Daphnia pulex: one gene and its partner. The protein of the gene in region 1 interacts with the protein of each later gene in a pairwise test. Links are inferred from orthologs where the notes say so. Each region holds a gene or a part of one and is shown in the gene's direction. Other genes may lie near its edges.

What was found.
Region 2: the proteins of segment polarity protein dishevelled homolog DVL-3-like (region 1) and tyrosine-protein kinase ABL1-like interact in binary tests that used the Drosophila melanogaster proteins (3 or more experiments, as listed by UniProt). The link is inferred for Daphnia pulex from reciprocal best matches to the Drosophila melanogaster genes dsh and Abl.

Annotation. Positions count from the first base shown.
Region 1 is NC_060018.1:12,878,400-12,888,344, reverse strand, and holds the start of segment polarity protein dishevelled homolog DVL-3-like, read left to right. Parts: upstream 1-7,071; 5' UTR 7,072-7,289; coding exon 7,290-7,450; intron 7,451-7,582; coding exon 7,583-7,652; intron 7,653-7,721; coding exon 7,722-7,810; intron 7,811-7,878; coding exon 7,879-7,958; intron 7,959-8,074; coding exon 8,075-8,143; intron 8,144-8,250; coding exon 8,251-8,397; intron 8,398-8,461; coding exon 8,462-8,699; intron 8,700-8,768; coding exon 8,769-8,897; intron 8,898-8,969; coding exon 8,970-9,097; coding exon of another isoform or gene 9,098-9,157; coding exon 9,158-9,247; intron 9,248-9,307; coding exon 9,308-9,613; intron 9,614-9,681; coding exon 9,682-9,939; intron 9,940-9,945.
Region 2 is NC_060021.1:8,609,939-8,620,076, reverse strand, and holds the start of tyrosine-protein kinase ABL1-like, read left to right. Parts: upstream 1-3,785; 5' UTR 3,786-4,207; intron 4,208-4,283; 5' UTR 4,284-4,326; coding exon 4,327-4,513; intron 4,514-4,528; exon of another isoform or gene 4,529-6,221; coding exon of another isoform or gene 6,222-6,303; intron 6,304-7,137; coding exon 7,138-7,389; intron 7,390-7,498; coding exon 7,499-7,797; intron 7,798-7,893; coding exon 7,894-8,095; intron 8,096-8,290; coding exon 8,291-8,624; intron 8,625-8,739; coding exon 8,740-8,911; intron 8,912-9,005; coding exon 9,006-9,118; intron 9,119-9,228; coding exon 9,229-9,371; intron 9,372-9,462; coding exon 9,463-9,700; intron 9,701-10,095; coding exon 10,096-10,138. UniProt on the Drosophila melanogaster protein: Arm and Abl proteins function cooperatively at adherens junctions in both the CNS and epidermis; critical for embryonic epithelial morphogenesis regulating cell shape changes and cell migration.

The DNA of each region.
Region 1 (9,945 bases):
GTTCCGTACGCCAACGACCCAATTTGATATCACAAACGAACGCAACATATCCAGCCTAATAAAAAATAAAGTCCATACCCAATAATTAGAATATAATTTAACAGGAACTTCATATACTATCTAACAACAACATCAGAGCAGTCAATGTTGGTTAAGTTTTAGTCACAAGTATTACAATTTATATGAAATAAAATGTTCAAGAATTCTTACCAACCAGACGTTCGATCGTGCTTCAAGCTCGGTATTGACTCGATAACCACCAAAATTGGAATCTATTTCCAAACCAGAAACGACAGCCAAATCCGTGAAGTTTGCGTCCCAACCGACAACAGCGATGACATGTTCAGTTTAAATCTGATGAAATGAATTCTAGATTTTAACTGACATCGCTAAAACATGTACTGAAATAACTGTTTACCTTTTGACCATCGTTAAAGGTCAATGCGACCTTGTAGTCTTCCAAAATTGCACCCTCAACATTAGCTTTGGGCAACACATTGACACCTTGAGCTTTCACCTTCTCGGAAGTCCAATGGCTCAAGTATTTAGGGAGGACTCGGCCTATGTTACCGCCATCGATGTTGCGGAACAGCATTACGTGCTCGTGGACATCTTTGAGGGCACCGCTCAGGGATTGGAAAAGATTTTTGTTTACCACCTAACAAGAAAATAAAGGCCATTTTTAGTGATTCGTAACCACAGAAATAAATTGCTAGCAGTTTAAGTAGACTCTCAGATACTATCAAGCAGGAAGATTATCAAAGTTGTTTAACATTCCATAAAGGAGCAATCATTGAGACTTTAAAAGATGAATTTCGTTTGGCATAAAATGTTTACCTGTGGCAATAAGGCACTTGTCGTAGGCTTATGGCACGGCCATCGTCAAGTTCGGCTTTCCGTCCGACAATGTCAAGTTTAACGACGCGGTGTACACGTACGAATGCTACGCCGCCGTTATCTTTCCTATTCAATTAGACGGGATTGCAGTAAATTCATCCGAAAAACAGACAAGGAAGGAAAACAAGTCATTAGTACATGTTCAAAAAAATTACAATAATAAAGAGCTCACCCTCACTCTTTGTCGTTCCACTGTTTGAAACGAAGATTATTCGAAACTTCGGGGCTGCCGTGTTGCGTGTCGGAGAAGCTCACTTGACCGACTTCTATCGTACTTGGGCGCTCCAGTGTAGTATTCGACAGCTTTAGTGGTGTAATAAGCTGGAGCCTCGGTGTCGTAGGTTGGGGCAGCATACGTAGTTGCGTAGTCTCAGTAGGTGCCTCGGTGGTGTAGTACTTAGGAGCTTCGGTGTAGTACTCTGCGCTTTGGTAGTGTAGCTCGGGGAGCAGCACAAGTTGTGGTGTAATAATCTGAATCCTTGGTGGTTTAACTGTAAACCCAACTGTGCAACCTCGGTGTAGTAACTGGTCGTTGCGTATGTTGTTGTGTAGTAAGGCGGCGGCGCTGCGGTTTGGTATCCGCCTTATCCAGGAGACATCGGTACACCAGTGTTCGACCCAGCCATCAACGATACAACAACCAATAGCAGCACGACGGCATAGTTAACTAGACAATATTAAATATTCAACAATAACGGACATATTATCAAATAGAAAAAATGGAAAGTGATACAAAATTCCACGTAGAAATACAGATTATTTACCCGTGATTGCGACCTGGTATTACGACGAAGAATGCAGTTGTTGCCGGGTCGGAGATGCTCACTCGATTGACTTATGTTGCCTTTTCTCTTTCCTTTTGAAAGATTTTCTCTCGTGGTCGACATCAACGATACAGCACCCAACAGCAACACAATACCATAATTAGCTATGGAATAAACAATCGGAAATTATTTTTCGAAGGTAACTAGTCGTATCAACAACTAATGACAAGATAGAATAGATTTACGACTCGAAATAAAAATGAACATTTACCCGTGATTGCGAACTGATATTACGACGAAATATGGAGTTGTTGCCGTGTCGGAGATGCTCACTCGACTGATCCCTGCCAACTTTTCTTTCGCCTTTTATACAATTTTTTCTCACCCCTCCTCTTAAGCCTAATGGCTATTTTACCTTTTTGATAATGAAGCAAAACGTCCCGTTCTTACCCAACCTCTACACCAATGCCTGACACCTTTGCCGTAATGATATCCATGACCTTCGATTGAAATGCAAACTGGCCTTTCTTTCTGCAGGTGACTTTGCCGGGGATGGGTCTACAATAACCAATATCAAAATGAATACCAAATGGCTTACACTTGCGGCTATTGTACCTTTTAGATAATGAAGCAACACGTGTCATTCTCACCCAACCTCTACACCACTGCATGATACGTTTTACGTAATGATCTCCGTGACCTTCGAGCGTCAAGGTCGTAGAAACTGGCCTTTTTCTTTCTGCAGGTTGACGTTGCTGGGAATGGGTCTACAAAAACTAATATCAAAACACATATCAAATCATAAATGATAATGGCTTAAATTTTAGTCACTTTAAAAATACCACATTTGAGTCATTTGACTCGTTTCTTCGGTGAATGAATTCCATTTCGAACCGTTTGAAGGACTGTCGGCTTTTTTAAAAATATTCTACTGCAAACTTTTCTAAGTTTCAAACACATAATCCTTGCACCTGCGGTCGGAGAAGAAAATCTAAAAAAAAGATAAATTATTAATATAAAAAAATACAAATCAAAGCTTCTCATTAAACGGTTGAATAAAATCAACAAAGTTTTGCGACCTCGTGACTTTCGTGTCCATTCTTCACTGGGCTATTCAACATGTGAAAAGGCCACAGTAGTCTAAGTTACGCTTTTCTTGTCTGTTGGATGAAGAGCTCGGACACTTGTTCGAAATTTTGGTGATCTTGAAATAGTAATTCGATTGTTTCGGCGTTTGGAGCAATTAAATGGAAGACCAGGATCTCTTCTTCTTCTGTAGTACAGCAGATGAGAGCAACTTGAGCAACGCCCTACATCGGCGGCCAGTAAAGTGGAATTATTTGTAGGACATTCTCTTACAATTTTAGCAAGTTCTTTAGGAGAATCACAAGTTGACGTGCTCTTAAGCAATGCGTATAAATTGGCTTGGTGGACAAATATTCTTCCTTGATTTCCAGTAGCAACTCTTGGCCGAATAATCGAAATGACAACTAAATTGAGTTTCTCAAACATTCTCTTGACCGTCGAAACTTGCAAATACGAAAGTTTGATGTTCTACTCGGTATCAAATAGCAAGACACATTTCACGATTTTAAAGCCCAGCCAAAGAAGCCTTGAGGCAAGTTGTCAACACGATTACAGAGACGAAGTCACCTAAAAGTGAACCAGAATTTTTAGTAATTGCAAGATTAGTACACCAGACGAAAAAGTTTATACTTCAATGGACGAAAATGGCTGATGAATTCTCCTTGAGAACTGAAGGTATCTGAAGAAGCCAACGACGCGAATGATAAATGAGCCGCCGCTTCCGTGAAAAATTTCCAGTTGCTCGCATCCGGCCCTAAGCACGGTCCCAAATGTTCCCCACTCGAGGAAAAAGCCCTTCGGTTTTTCAAAAATGTTATCCACATAATAACTCATCTTCGAAAACGGTAATTTTTTTTTCAAAACAATTATGTAAATGTACGAAGCATAAACAAATCTAGAAATAGGCCTTTAAAAAAACGCAATTAAAACTAATTAATCAAACATTCAACAAAAGTTTTAGTCATACTTCTTTCATTTCCTATGCGTTTTCATCTTCGCTTTTAGCGACACGATCAAGAAACCACCGTTATGGTCCAAGATGGATGTCAAAAGTCGCCAATAAGTGACTGAAGGGTTGCATGCAAGTGCGGACACCAAATGGCATTTCGATAAGGGAAATAGGATGAGTTGAGTGACATCGATCGGTCAGGATAGTTGGCATAGACGAAATAACACCATGGCTTTGTTGAAGGCTTATAAGAAATACGCCAGACGTCGTACGAGGGCGAATCGAAGCTGGCGTCGCTTACGGCATTGACCGCGTTTCAGTTAATTTGGTTCTTCATTAGTTATGTCTGCAAACACTATTAATAAAAATAAACTGTGAACATTTCCCTGTACAAAACTAACATTCAGCTTACCTTTCCATAATTCAATCATGAGTTGATTGCTTTATAGTCCCAAGGCCGTTCGCACACCACTGTAGATCTGCTCTAAGATTAAACGTGAGCAGACTTGTTTGAAAAACTGGAACGAGCATTTCGAGCATTCATGACTTTTCAAAAAATCAATCGATATTTTTCGATAAAGATCAACAAAGGTTGGTCAGTAGGCGAGTGAACCAACTCTCTCAGCGAGATTTTGTGCTGGTCCGTTGTGAACGTCTTCGTCGACGAAACAATAATCCCAACTGTCACCAAATGAAAAGCCCTGGACGCGGATCGGCGTGAACGATGAAAATGACGCGGCATTTGATTTCTTCAGGACTCCCTTCACCTACTCCAGTTCTTCGAATTCCCACAAATTTTGACCTTATGCATTCGTTTGTCACTGTACCGTTAGTCAACTGCCTCAGATAGTAGAGCTCGTGATAAAAGGGCTTTTCAAATTCCATCTTGGTTAAAACTGCAGCACAGTTCATGTGTTGGGGGCTCAAGTAGTGTCATGTATTACTTTCCTTATGGCAAGAGTTTCATCACCAAAGCCAATTTATTCCCGGATGTCAATATTTTTGGCAAAGATGCCATTTGTAATGAACCAGCATTACCTTCCATGTCATTCGTGACCCAAACATTCAAGAGTCTGAAAAGAGAAATAAGGAATTTCGTTAAATTATCCTGAAATAGTTATCTTTAGTTATCTCACTACTACTTTTTCCTTATTATTAAGCACACAATCACAAGCTTTGCTTAAGTAATACTTACAAAATAATCTTGCTGTTCACATTATAAGAGATAGGTGATAGAAGATGTGGTACTGTAATCCATGCCAATCCCCATGTAGACTGAAGTCGACAGGAGATTAGAGTTTGTTCTTATTCTATGCAAATATTGTGTCTGGCAGTTCACGTAGGTGGGTGTTGTGTCACTGATTGCTTGAGTTCACTCTATTAAGTAATTGTTCTATGTACATATCATTGGATTCTTTGTTAGCAGAGGTAACTGCAACGGTCACACTGAACTTGAAAAGCTTAGACTTGCTGCATTCGAACTAAGTGCTGGGGGTTATTAACATAATAAAAACACACAGAACAAAATCTTTTAGAAGCCCTTTTTTTGTTTGAGCAAACAAAGATTGAAAAGTCCAATATGGGTGAAACCATCCATCCATGCCTTGATGTGATCTGGGCCCATTGAATATAAACATTTCCTTGATTTGACTGCTTTCGTGAGGCAATCGAGAAGAAAAAAAAAAGCAAACTTTTGCGTGAACTCATTAGACAAATGCTCACTACAATCAAACCATCTCATGATTGAAACTTTGCACGTTTGCAAAAAAATGCTGCCAATGCTGGTGAGTGGTGGCAGACGAACTTCAGTGAGAACTGGCTACTAGTGATGTTTCGTTAACGATAACGGATAACGTGAAAAGTCCGTTAACGGACCTTTTTTGGGGTTCGTTAACTTAACGGATAACGCTAACGTTTGGCATTTTTCAGACGTTATTTTCAGACGTTATTTTTGTTTTTAACAGCGCTGCCAAATATGAAATTTTTGGATTTTTCAAAATGAAATTTGTATTTTTTGCGCGCTTCCAACATTTTACTGTAGTAGGTTGACTATGAAAACGAATTTAAATAGCCAATGACAGTGAGCAGTAGTCTTCTTAGCTTCTCTGAGGTTTTTTTTTGCTTTCAAAACGTGGCAAACGAAACTGTATAAGTAGAGTAGGGAAACAACTAGAATCAGAGTGTAAATCTTTAATGTCAGATTCAGACTCTGATGCTCCTGTTGACGGTGAATAAGCGTGGCATCTGCGATGTTAGAAGATCTCGAAAGAAGATTTAATTTCATGACAGATTAAAGAGATCCTGATTTCGACTGCTCCTACCTTCTAGCCACTTCCCTCGACTGCATTGAAACTGAACTTTTAGACAACTTCCACTTTGCAAGTCATGAATTTGATCCTTCTAAGGATCCACCAGTTCAAGATGTGATCTCTTACTGGAAGGATTTGTCTGGTCGTTTCCCCTAATTATCCAAAATGGCCTATAATTTACTGGTTATACCAGTTTCTTCGGCATCATCTGAACGCGAATTTTCCATTGCCGGATGGCACTGTCTAGGACACAAAAATAGGACGGCGGAAGAAGTTTTGGCCGCAAAAGTCTTCCTCACTTGCAATAAGGATTTATTGAGGCCTTTACTTTTTTAGTTGGAACTTGTTTTTTTTTCTTTTGTCTGTGCGTTTATTTAATCCGCAGTTTCTGTTTTTTTTAGTTGATCATTGCTTCATTGTGACATTGTTCAACGCCAGCAGCAATTTAAATATAAGTAATCAAGACCGTGACTGATTTCAGTGATTTGATAGTGCAATTTTTTTATTAAATAACGGTAAAAATAACGTCGAATTTTCGTTAACGGAGACATTTTTAACGGCGTTAATTAACGGCGTTAACGAACGTGAAAAAATGAGACATCGTTAACTTAACGGATAACGCTAACGTTTAGAAAAAGCACTAACGAAACATCACTACTGGCTACTAGCTTGCTGCCCTTTTGCCATGATACCACAACCTAAAAGCAATCGAAAATTTAAGGAATCTTTACAGCTTACATGATAACCAAAGCTAGAATACATATTAATTATTATTTTATGAATAAATATTAATATATATTATATTATATTACTATGGATACGATAGTAAGATCACCAATTCACCATGATTAATGATTATTGTATTATTAATATATCACGGCCGTTAGCGAGTTATTCAACGTTATATGCTATTTTATTTTTTTAAATGAAACAAAAATCACGAACAACAGCCCTTTTTGAAGATCCCCCCTTTTTGCCAGATTTGAATTTGAAGCAAGTAGTGTGCAGTGTGAGCAGTAGATGGCTACGCTGTGGATAGCGGGTCGGAAAAACCATCTGTCGGCTGACGTTAATATTTTTTGGGAAAACCGGGACGCCCAATTGGAGGCTCACAAGACTTTAAGCCTCGCCATATTGAACAGCCTGAGGGAAAGGGGAAAAGTCTGTATTCACTATTCAGTCCTCTTCATGTTGCGCAGATAGTAACTTTTGACGCCCTACCCGTTTTTGTAATCTTGTCAAAACGATTGGTTTGTTGTCGTTGACTCTTGACGCAGTTTCCTAATGGCGGAAACAAAGATTATTTACCACATTGACGAAGAAGAAACTCCCTATCTTGTTAAACTTACAATATCTCCCGATCAAGTTACCCTAGCCGATTTCAAGAATGTTCTCAATCGTCCAAATTACAAATTTTTCTTCAAATCAATGGACGACGATTTCGGGTAAAACCAGTTTTTCTCGTTTTTTTTTTGTTGTTGTCAAGTGGCAATAACGTGTTACATGATAATTGTCCATGTAGTTATTTTTTTATGCAAGTGTAAGCATTGTTTTCTCTTTATTGTTTATGTTTCTAGTGTTGTCAAGGAAGAAATTGTTGATGACGATGCTCACCTTCCATGTTTCAATGGAAGAGTCATATCATGGGTAAACGTAACAAGTTAAATTATATTGATGAATATTTTAAGATGTCTTAATGTTTCTTTCACTTTGTAGCTAGTATCAGCTGAAAGTAGCATTTCAGACTCTGTATCTCAATGTGCTGAGAGTACTGCCACTACTGATGGGAGACCACCGTCTTTCCAGTGAGTTTTTTCTTTACAAATTTTCACTGCTTGTAAAGTTTGGTAATTAACTCGTCATTTGATTTTAGCCCTGGCCATAACAGAAGTATGGCTGAGGAATACACAACAGCTACTGAGACAGAATCGGTCATTAGTTCAAGACACAGTGGTAAACTTTATTTCCTTATGCTGTATTTTTATGTTTATGTGTTTACCTTTGTCCTGTTGCATCTCATTTTTCGTTATCTTCTGCAATTCTTTTGTTCTTTATGTTTTGCCATGAAGAGAGGCACATATTGCCCCGCTCTGGCCGTGTGCATCGTGAAACTTATGAAAAATATGATCGCTTTGATGGTGAGTTTGTTAGCATGGCTTTTTTTGTAGATTGTTGCTTCACTAAATTTTCATGTAGAATGTCTTATCTTACTATATATTCGATTAACATCCGATTGTCTCTTTAGTTCAAGCTCCTCGAAATGGCCACAACGCTATGAGACACAGAGCTGGACACGAATATGAATCCTCTTCTATGATCAGCTCGGATTTAGAGTCGACCAGCTTCGTTGACTCTGAAGAAGATGCATCTTCACGTATCACAACGACCACGGGTATTAAGCAAAGTTATAATAACTCTGGATTTATTGAAAATTTTGCATATTTTGAAATTTGCAGATCACACTAGTGTGTCTCGCCAAGGTCGCAATCGGAGACGTAATCGTCGCCGTCCCCGCCTCCCTCCTCTTTCATCTCGAGCTTCATCATTCTCCAGTATCACGGATTCCACTATGTCACTCAACATAATCACTGTCACCCTCAACATGGACACAGTCAACTTTTTAGGAATTTCCATCGTCGGCCAGAGTCATCAAGGTGGTGATGGTGGAATTTACGTAGGATCCATAATGAAAGGGTATAAACACAGATGAACCTGACATATTTCTTGTGGTAATTTCAAATGAAAATCATTGCTATTATTTAGTGGGGCTGTCGCTTTGGATGGTCGAATCGAGCCTGGTGACATGATCCTTCAAGTCAATGATATTAACTTTGAAAATATGTCAAATGACGATGCCGTTCGCGTTTTACGAGAAGTTGTCCAGAAACCTGGGTAAGCATAACTGTTTTTTTTGTTTTCCAACTTAACATTTAGTACATTGTGTTTTTTATTTGCATGTGTCAGCCCAATCAAACTTGTAGTCGCCAAGTGTTGGGATCCTAATCCAAAAGGATATTTCACTATACCCCGTACGGAACCTGTTCGCCCTATTGATCCCGGTGCGTGGGTTGCTCACACGGAAGCAGCAAGAGGTGATTGTCGTATTTTAAATCATAAATTGGCATCCAACAACAAATCTAACGTCATATTAGGTGGAACGCAGTACCCGAATCGTCCGCCATCTGTGGCGACGATGTCGTCAACCACCACAACAATGATGTCGAGTATGCCAGAAACCGAACGTAAGTTGTCACGTAGAAAATGTACCGAAAGAACTTTTGACTAAGTACTACTTGTCACAGGTCCAGTTGAAGAAGCCCAACCGCTTTCAGTGCGCTCAGACATGCTCGCAATTGTGCGAGCGATGGCGCGCCCAGATTCCGGACTTGAAGTTAGAGATCGCCTTTGGTTAAAAATTGTAATTCCAAGTGCGTTTATTGGATCAGAAGTGGTCGACTGGCTTCACAATCGCGTGCAAGGACTAGAAGAGCGGCGTGATGCCCGCAAGTTGGCTTCCCAGCTTCTGCGAAACGGTTACATCAGACATACAGTAAACAAGTACACATTCTCTGAACAATGTTACTACGTGTTCGGAGACCTGTGTTTGGGTGAGTTGACATTTGAGACTTATCGGGTTATAGAATATTTTGTTTGATGAAAGGGTTTTATCTTGTAGGTGTTTCGGCTCTTCGCCTGACTGATGACACGACATCGGAAGCCGATAGAGACACGCTCGCACCGTTGCCGTTGCCGACTCCTTGGGGTAGTGGGCCTGGTGCTACAGGAGCCGGTGGGGCTACCCCTCACATACCTTATTATCCAACCGGTTATGCGCCCATGCCTTACAGCTACAGCAGTGATCCCCTCGGATCGGCGCCTGTACAAAGTACTACATTTACGTATGGAAGAGAAGGCAGCGTTCACAGTGGTTCAGGTAACC
Region 2 (10,138 bases), on another chromosome or scaffold:
CCAATTTTCAAAAGAAAATTGCCACAAAATTTCATTTTCAAAGAGGCAGGGAAATTTCACATCGAAAATCGCTGGACAGGAACCGATGAGAGGCTGAACCGAAGCCAAAATTTGGCCAAGCGATGCGAACATCGACTGCCGTACAACTAGTAGATGGAACGAAAAAGGAGTAATAAAAGTCGCCATAAAACAAAACACAATAAAAAGACAAACCAAACAAACTGAAAAAAAAAGAAACAATGGGTGTGTTACTGTCACTGTGTATGTGCGGAGGAGTTTTCCATGTGAAAAAACCAGACAGTATATTTGGCTACGCCCATACGGGTACATGCGTAACACCACGTCAATTATCCAACTCTCTCTCTCTCTTGATTAAAGTGAGAGTTATAAATCTTCTATTCAAATTTAACCAAAAAAAAAAGGGTTGGGGATTTATTATTTCAAGCCCTCCAAAAGACTCAACATTTCAAGAGTTGAAAAACAAAAGATGGCGCGCAGGCGCGGCATCCCCAACGGACAATACCTTGACATACACAACAGAGGGCTTCTTCTTTGATAAACTTTATTTATAATATAAACAAAAGCAGCCAAGTTCAAATTCGATTGGCAACTTTGGATGGGGGAAAAAAGAACAATAAAGCTTTATTCTTCTTTTTTATTATTCGCCAGAGACATCATCACTTCCGGTGGGCGATGGATGTTGTTGGGCAACATCGACTTAAACTCTTCAAAACCAAACTAGGAAAGAAAATAGAAAACGCAACACGGTTGGGTTGATCCCATGGCCTCGCGGGTATATCTTTTCCACGCAGTGCTATAACCAAAAGGAAAACTTTCATTGGCCTCCCCTGAGCTGCACTGCTGCTGGCCTGCGTGAAATCTAGGACATAACATCCACCTCCTCCTATACCCATTGAATAAACTAAAAATGGACTAGATGGGTCGGTCGTTGGAGAATTTGCACACCTGGCGTCACTGACGCACCTGCACACATGATGAAAGCATTTCGATCGACTCGACTAAACACTCGTTTTGAGAGTGTTTTACACGGGTGTACATTGCTACCAAGAATGGAGAAAAAAAGGATGACACCTAACCGAAAGAGAAAGATGGCTTTAGGCTATTCTTCTAGTCATTAAAAAACTGTTTCTACCTTTCCCTCCCTTTCTAGCCTCTTTTGGACGCTTTCCGTCAGGTGAGTGAACTCGCACAACGGCTCAAAAAACGTTCGACTCGGCCAAACACAGAACAAGATAAGCCAAGAAAATGAAACAATAATGTTGGTGTGGACACTCACCTTAAGATGTGGTCTTTGTCTGGATGGTGGCTGGACTAAAGATGTTGTTGAATCAAGGTGTGTGTGTATATGGAGTTGCAGGATAGCAGACGAGTCACAGAAATGTTAAGAGACCGCTAGTTCATGTGACCTCGGACGACGTGGTTTTTCATAAAAATAAAAGGGGGCAACGAGTGGAGCTGCAGCACACACCAACAACACACCAACCCACTCTGGTCTCTGCCGCCGCCTTCAGTTCGGTCTTGCAGCTCACGAACGACAACGGTCCGGACACGTTCTGCCTCAGAACACTATACACACACATTCTGGGTGTCTCTTGCCTTTTGGCTTAGTTCCCAACCTGCGCGCGGCCCATTCTTTTTTTTTTTGGTCAGGTGATTTAGACATCTAGCGGTCATTTGAGCAAGTTTCAACTGTCAGTCAATAGGTGGCGCTGGGGAGTCGAATCGTAAACAAAAACAATCGTGTTTGTTTGCATGAAAAAATCGAGAACAACCGTTCGTTCTTAAGGTTTCTCTTGGACACATCCGTACGCCAACACACGACACGATGTGTTTAAAACAAGATCGTTTGCACCGGTTGGTACACACGCACAAACTGTGTGGCGTTGTTTTTCTCTGGCAAACAAACGAAAAAGGGGGAGAAAAAGGAAGACCTTCCCCAGTCAAAAACCGGGAAATGATTCCAGCGACCGGGAATCCTCTCCTCACCTTTCTCGATATCCTGCTTCATTTTTTTTAAGTGAACACGACAGTTATCAAGTAGAAGAAGCCAAAGATGTTTCTCGGGGGGTTGTCGAATCAACGGGATATTTTGAATATGCGAGGGAGAGCTAAGAAGAAGCTCAGAACCAGGGCACGTAGAACATAATATACCGCAAAAGGGGTTCGTTCATCCCTTCTCCAACCCTGGAAATGAGTTATTTGACGTAATGTCAATATATTAAGGCAACGGTCCACAATATGTTGACAACGACTTCTTTTTTAAAAAGAAAAACTCTTGCAGCTACAGCACTGTACGGTCCGTGTCCAGTGGGCGGTATATTACGTCAGGGTGCGCTCAGGACGAGCCAAGAAAACCCAGCTGACATTCCAACCCCGAATCTCCTGTACACATTCTTATGGGGACAGAAAGAATTCTCTATCAGACGCTTGTTCAGAAAACGTCATCCGGCTAGCGCAGAATCGATACACAAGAGACGCGGAAATGAGCTTGACACAAGTCACATAATGTGTGCCGTTGTCCTGACAATCTTCCTTTACCAAGTGCCAAATAGACAAGAAAAACGTGTCGAACAGAAGAAGAAAAAACCAGAAATGAATACAAATTTGTTGGGTTTTTATCGCTTCCAATGTTTCCGACAACTACACAATCTTGAGAGACCCGTTCAGGACGGCTGCAATCCGTTTAGAACTTTTAGATATGACATTCTTCTTCTTCACGGGGGCGAAATGTGATTATCTGCGCACGATGACTTTGAAAGCTGCTGGAAATGTTTCATTTGAAATTGTTGGAAGGCAGGAAAACGATGAGGCTTCTGGGATTTTTTTTAACAAAGAACAGAAGGTATTATACAGAGACGACTGTTTATATTTGAACCAGTCAAAGTAGCTCAGAAAGACTGGGGGCCTGCTTAACAATAGCTAGCTCTTTCAGCAGCAAAAGAGTTCCTCTCTATATCTCTCCCCCTCACTCAGTCATTCAAAAATGTCGGTTTGGAGTTTTTCGAGTGATGAGGAAGGGAGAGGGGTTCCCTGTCCGTTGAATAGCCTCAGCACGTTCCAGCTGGAACGATCTATATATACGAGCCCTATAGCTGAGAGGGCTCGAGTCGTTGCCAGTGTGTGTGAACATTGTCTGGAGGTAGATAACAAAATCCCTGTGCCTAATTAGCGCGTTAGTGTTACACAAGAAAGACGAAAAGGAACCCAGCAAAAGTCAAAAGGAACATCGTCACTCGTCAGAGTCTTTGATTTCCCGAGGTCAGCAGCATCTCCAGCTGCTCGGCGTTGAAAAGATAAATGCATTTTAACACAAATCTTTCTTCGCGGTCTCAACTTTTTTGTTCTTCAGCAATCAGCTTTTCTTTTTTTTCCCGGAGCAGAGACTAGAACACAGTTGGATGTAATTTGTTTGTTCAGCAGCAGGGTTCGCTAGATCTAAAAGTCGCCAGATATCTCATCGTGCATCTCCAGCAAAGCGAATCGAACGAACGACCGCGATTGTGTAACGCGCCGGCGTCAACAGCAGCAACTCTGTAACAATGAGCTAGACTCTTTTTCTTCTTCCACTGGTATTCTAATATGAAGACACAAGGAGGAAATCTCAATGATAATTAAAAAGACAGCAACACGAGACGGGTTACATGGGTCTTCCGTTTCGTGAAAAAAGAAACTGTGACATTTGATGAGAGTAGGAAACGAGTACGACGAACTTGTTTTTCTTTTTCTCTTTTTAATATTCAGAGTTCGGCAACGCTGTTCCGCTAGAGCTGAATTTTGTAGATGGCACTATGGCAGCCATACACCGGGGGCTGCTGGAGTGAAGTCTCTCGTATTTGAAGCTTTTTTAGTCCGAGACGTTTTCTCGGTTCACCGTTGACGTTGAAACCAAAAAAGAAACACACCCTCGTTTTTCAAGTCACAAACATTAGTCGTTGTTGATCGGGTTTTATTGGAATTTGGGTGTGCCGCAGTATTTGTTTTTAATCAGACCTGGATTCAGCATAGTTGTGTGTGTGTGCCGTCGCCCTTGGAAGAAATAATCAACACAAAAGCCTATAGCTCTTGTCTGCTATAGTCTTTTTTACCCTCAAAGTGTAACACTCCAGTTTCGTTTATGCCGTTTGTCTCCATCGCCTGTCATCACAAATGATACCTATCTAGACAGAACTGATAGCCCAGTTTGACTGTAAGTGGATTATTCATCACACACACAGCAGAGAGCCTGACCCCAAGACATAACCATCTGATTCATCCTCTTTCAGTTTGCTGCTCTTCCCAGCTGGCGATGTGCATACATTCAGGGCAATGGGAGCCCAGCAAGGCAAGGAACGTGAGCGGACATCCACAGCAGCTGGCTCCCTGCACTCGCTCACCCTCACATCTACAGCTGGTTCTAGACCGGTGAAGCCAAAAACCAACTCCTTGAGACCGGCCAGGGAGAACTCTTCAGCTACTCGTTCTCAGGCCTTCAATGTGTTTGTCGAACACAATGGTATGTCAATTGTCTGTTTATCTTGCCACGATACTCTTGTGCCGTCAACCAGGCATGTGGTTGTTTGCTCCTGTCAAATGAGTTCATGCCACTGCAACTTGCAGCGATCCAACCTTGAGAGTGTGAATATGAAAACCCCCTTGTTGTCATTCCTTTTAGAGTTTTTACTAGGCCATGGAAACCAAACCTACTGCTAACCTACATTCGCCCCTGGGTTACTGAATCGCTCCGTAATCGATAGACTAGATTATGCAATTTGATTGGTCACACAGTCTGCATTCGCCACCGTGAGGTGTTGTTGTGGTTGATCTGTCACCATAGTGACAGGGCAGTCCGCCTACTTTCTATGCAGATCTGAAATCGCTTGTTGGAACTGGTGCGACTCAAATTATGCACACGAGGCCAGAGAACGTCAGATAATTTATTTATGATTCGACCCACGAGAGACTCGGTTTGTCAGGTGATTTTCGTTCAGGCTTTTCCGTCTATCGTGCCAACTTTGCATCAAGAGAGAAACCGTGAGAATTGACATAGTTCGTTCGGTTGACACACAACTCCAAAACTCCCCTTCAACTCCCAAGAGTGATAGATGATGACGAAGAAGAAGAAGAAGAAGGAAGAATCATGGGGAGGTTCAATTACTCAGAGTGTTTGGAGACCGGAGTCACGGGTATGGCGCCCGTCTTCCTCCTTCCAGATGCCTCTTTCCGTTCCAACGAAAGAAAAAGAAACAAATTCCCAACTTAATCTGATTAGTGTACAAGAGACTCGGTTCTCCCATCTCTCTCGCACCAATGAACGGGCCAAGAATCGCTCTTTTAAGTCTTTGTGTGTCTGTGTTGTGTTGTCGGAATGGCATTATTGCAGCTTTCGGATACGACGAGGCTCTTTAACAAACCGTCTGGACGTTGTCCTAAAAAACAAAACAAAAAAAAATCTGGCATTTCGGTCTGCGATGCTCTTTTCTTGGCTTCCTCATCATTTTTCCCAGCTGCCATGTGAGATTGCCTTGGACGCCAGAACCGTGTCCATTGGCAGATGCAATCTCGTCAGTTTCTTATTCATTCATTCATGTTTTGAAAGTTTTATTTCCTTTGACTTGTTGTTGTCTGTCAGAAAAATTACATTTCTCTTCAATTGCTGAGAAAATGGGATTTTTCCGTGCACTTACTACACAACCACAACAACAACGACGACGATTTTGATAAATCGCATGCAGGGTGCCCTGGACCACTACGCGTTGCTCGTATGTGTGTCTCTCTCTCGACCAGCAGCGACCGGAACGCTGAAAAATGACGGCCAGATGTCGTGCTGCGTTTCAGGAGTCGACTGTGGGAGGGACCTGAAAGGGGCCACCGCAAAAAAGAAAAGAATTAAAGAGAAAAGAGGAAAAAGAAATAACCGGTGGTGCCTCGTCCAACCGACGATTCGTTCTAATCACGAGCCGCAAAAGGAGATGAGGGGAAATTCAGTCTCTCCAGTTACTCGTCACTGGACGGACATTATCCAGTCCTTTCTCGCCCTCTCCTTTTTCGCTCTATGCGTGAGGTGTAGTGAACTGTAGTGTGCAGCCTAGAAGAAGAAGTAGTTATCTGGTTTCGGTCAAAGTTCCTTTTTCGTGAAAACCAACCCAAAAAATTGCCAAAAAAGAGAAGAAGAAGAAGAAGAGTCAAAGAAGACGCTGCTGCTGATTTGGTCGGTTTGCGCCATGTCGAATCCCGCCCTCTTGCCGCCCTCGGTCATGCGGCTCCTTCAGATCCTTTATCCTCCCGGTGCCAAGCCTCGACTTGGTAAGAACCTCACAAGTTACAAGCAAAAGTAAAAAAAAAAAAAAAAGTCAAGAGTCAGCCATTATTGATCGGCTGCTGTACCTTATTATTGATGTTCCGCCTGACTTATTCCTTTCGATCCTGTTTGTACTGACCAAATGCTGCGGGTCGAATTTCTGGAAACGGATCCTATCCGCCACGGAAGATTTGACTTATTTACTCTCAATGAACCCGTCTACTTTGGTGTAATCATGTCCGCTACTTTTTGTTGTTGGTTTTTTGAAACGAGAGAAACGATCTAGTCGTGTCGGGGAGTGCCAATTTAATCGTGAAAAATGCGGAGACTACAACAACAGTTTGCGTAGTTGGCAACTTTAGGGAAACTTGTAATGGTAGCCGTTGTGGAACAAACAGATACTTACCGAACAGCTGTTGTGCCGTGACGTCCGACCGGTTAACTGAGGTCAAAACGTGAAGATTTTTCAATGTCTTATTTTGAAAACTAGCAATTTCTAATGCAAATCCTTCGTTAACGACGGTATCTGGGGGGATTATATGGAAGAAAAGAAAAAAAGAAAAGAACACGACACACAACAGATGAGGCCAGCAGCTTGTTGGAACAGGGGCGAATTAAAAACCGGCCCTGTCTTGTTTATTACCGTTACATACACTGTGGCATTGCGTGCCATTGGCCTAGCGGTTTGAATAGTTTCCATATGAGGGTCAGACATCTTGCATGTTTCGTTCTGATTTCTCCCTTTGTTTTTGTTTCTCGTGTTTTCATTTATTTTATCTTTTTATTGTATTTTATTCTTTTTTTTTGTTTTGTTTCCTTCTCGATTGTGTGTCACACAGAGGCATTGTTGCAGAACCGGCCACTGCCAACGCTGCCCGACTTGGCGACGGGCACGTTGGACATGGACGGTGGCGGATCGTCGGGACTAGGAGGCGGCCACTGCGGTACCACCTTTAGCCTTGAATCGGCGCACCGATGGACGTCGAGAGATAATCTGCTCCATACCGAACCCGACGATGAAGACCCGCAACTCTTTGTCGCTCTTTATGACTTTCAAGCTTCCGGCGATAACCAGCTCAGCTTGAAAAAAGGTGCCGCTTTAAAAATTTTTTCATATCAACCAGACATTCAAACGTTATTTTTTTCTTTTCCCCTTATTTTTTAAATCTCTTTTTTATTATTATTATGATCATTCTGTAGGCGAACAAGTGAAAATTCTGAGCTATAATAAAAGTGGAGAATGGTGCGAAGCTCATTCGGGTTCGGGCAGGGTCGGCTGGGTCCCGTCCAACTATGTGACTGCTGTCAATTCCCTAGAGAAACACTCTTGGTATCACGGACCAATCTCCCGCAATGCAGCTGAATACTTGCTCAGTTCGGGCATCAATGGCAGCTTTTTGGTTCGGGAATCGGAAAGCAGTCCCGGACAACGATCCATCTCACTCCGTTATGAGGGTCGGGTGTATCACTATCGGATCAGCGAAGACTCGGAAGGGCGGGTAATAAATAAATCCAATCCTATTGAATTGCAAACCTCCCCCTCTAAACTTGTTTGAATGTTTACTTTACTACTTTTTTTTTATTTTTTTAAAAAGGTTTACGTCACTTCTGAGAGTCGATTCCGGACCCTGGCCGAGCTCGTCCATCACCATTCGGCCAATGCCGACGGCCTCATCACGCAATTGTTGTATCCGGCCCCCAAACGTCACAAACCTCAAGTGTTTGCTCTTAGTCCCGAGCCGGATGAGTGGGAAATTGAGCGTACGGACATCGCCATGAAGCAGAAGCTTGGAGGAGGTATTAATTCATTTCGGCCTAGGTGGTGTCCGCTTTCTCTTACTGCTCGCTGGGTGTTTGCGGTTGTCATCGTGTCGATTACGACGTGAACTAATTGAAGCGCGGGAGATGATGATGATGATGAACCGCGGCTTTCCCTTCCTGGACGATTTCGAAACCCCCCTAAACTTTTGGTCCTTTTCTATTTAATTGTAGGCCAGTACGGCGACGTGTACGAGGCAATGTGGAAGAGATACAACATGACTGTGGCCGTCAAGACGCTCAAGGAGGACACAATGGCGCTTAAAGACTTTCTAGAAGAGGCGGCCATAATGAAGGAAATGAAGCATCCGAATCTGGTTCAGTTGCTAGGCGTGTGCACGCGCGAGCCTCCATTCTACATTGTCACCGAATTCATGTCGCGAGGCAACTTGCTCGACTATTTACGAAGGGCCAACCGTGAAGAGATCGACGCCATTGTTCTCCTTTACATGGCAACCCAAGTAGCGGCCGCCATGTCCTACCTGGAGAGCAGGAATTTCATTCACAGGTGAGAATTAGCTAGGGTCCCGGGGAAATTTGATAGACTGGATCGCGCGGGGGTCTCTTAACTGCTGCCGCGATGTGTTTCATTAACCCGAAAACGTTTTGCTTATCATCTGAAGGGATCTTGCCGCCCGTAATTGCCTTGTCGGCGAGAACCACTTAGTCAAAGTGGCCGATTTCGGATTGGCGCGTTTAATGCGTGACGACACCTACACGGCTCACGCCGGCGCTAAATTTCCCATCAAATGGACCGCACCCGAAGGCTTGGCGTACAATAAATTCTCCACCAAGGTGACACTTTCCTCCTCTTTCCTGCGGCTCCCGTTTTTCCTCGTCATTAATCGTTTGTGTGAAAATGTTTCTTTTTTCTTCTTTCTTTCTCTAGTCGGACGTCTGGGCTTTTGGGATCCTTTTGTGGGAAATTGCCACCTACGGGATGTCCCCTTACCCCGGTATCGATTTAACTGATGTCTACCATACCCTGGAAACAGGTTACCGGTGAGTTATTGTGTCTACTTTTTTTTCTTACGTTTTCATTTCAACAGCTGAACTCGATTTTTCTTTTATCTCTCTCTCTCTCCCTGACGATGGGGTTTCCTATACTAAAGGATGGAATGCCCTCCAGGATGCCCGCCCCGGGTCTACGATCTCATGCAGCAATGTTGGCATTGGAGTGCCAATGACCGGCCGACTTTCCAAGAGATCCACCACGGCCTGGAAAATATGTTTCAAGAGTCGAGCATTAACGAAGGTTCGCCATTCTACTTACCAGCTTATCAAATCGATTGGAATAATTTTCTGACTGGTGGGTTGTTCCCAATTAAATTGGTTCGACTAATTAGAAGTCGAGCGGCAGTTGCAGGGTAGCAGCAGCAGCGTCGGCGTCAGTTCCTCGAGTCCACGCCTGGCCTCCAAAAAGGCCGCCAATCAGGGACAAGCTCAAAATCAGAATCATAATCGACCATCAGGTGCTGGTAGTGGTGCCGTGATGACTAGTCGTTCCAATACCGCCCCGGTGCAAATGAGACGGGCCACCAACACGAAGGGAAAGCCCGTCCCGGCCCCTCCTAAACGAACCAGGTACAACCGTCTCTATTTTTCTTTTGGCTCGATTTAATGTGTGAAGAATGTAAACGAGAACCGTCACCAGACTGCAATGAATTATAAATGAGATTGAAGAAATAATTTACAAAAGCAAAAAAAAGATTTTCTTGTGGCTTGGCGCGACGCACGCATTCTCATTTCGATTCCACTTTGCTCTCTGCGTTGTTTGCCTGGCTAAAAAAAGAGTTTTCACGCTGCTGTTGCGTTTGTTATTTTTTAATTTTCTTTTTTTGGGTTTTAATTTTTTTGATCCAACCATTTGTTCACGCCCTTGTTTGACTCATACGTGTGTGTTTTATTTGGATTTTTATTCATAATATTTGTGTTCTTTTTTTCCTTACCCGCTCGTCACTTGCCTTGACCGTTCATAGAGGAGGCAAGCCCAGTAAGGTGTCGGACAAATTAGGGCACCTG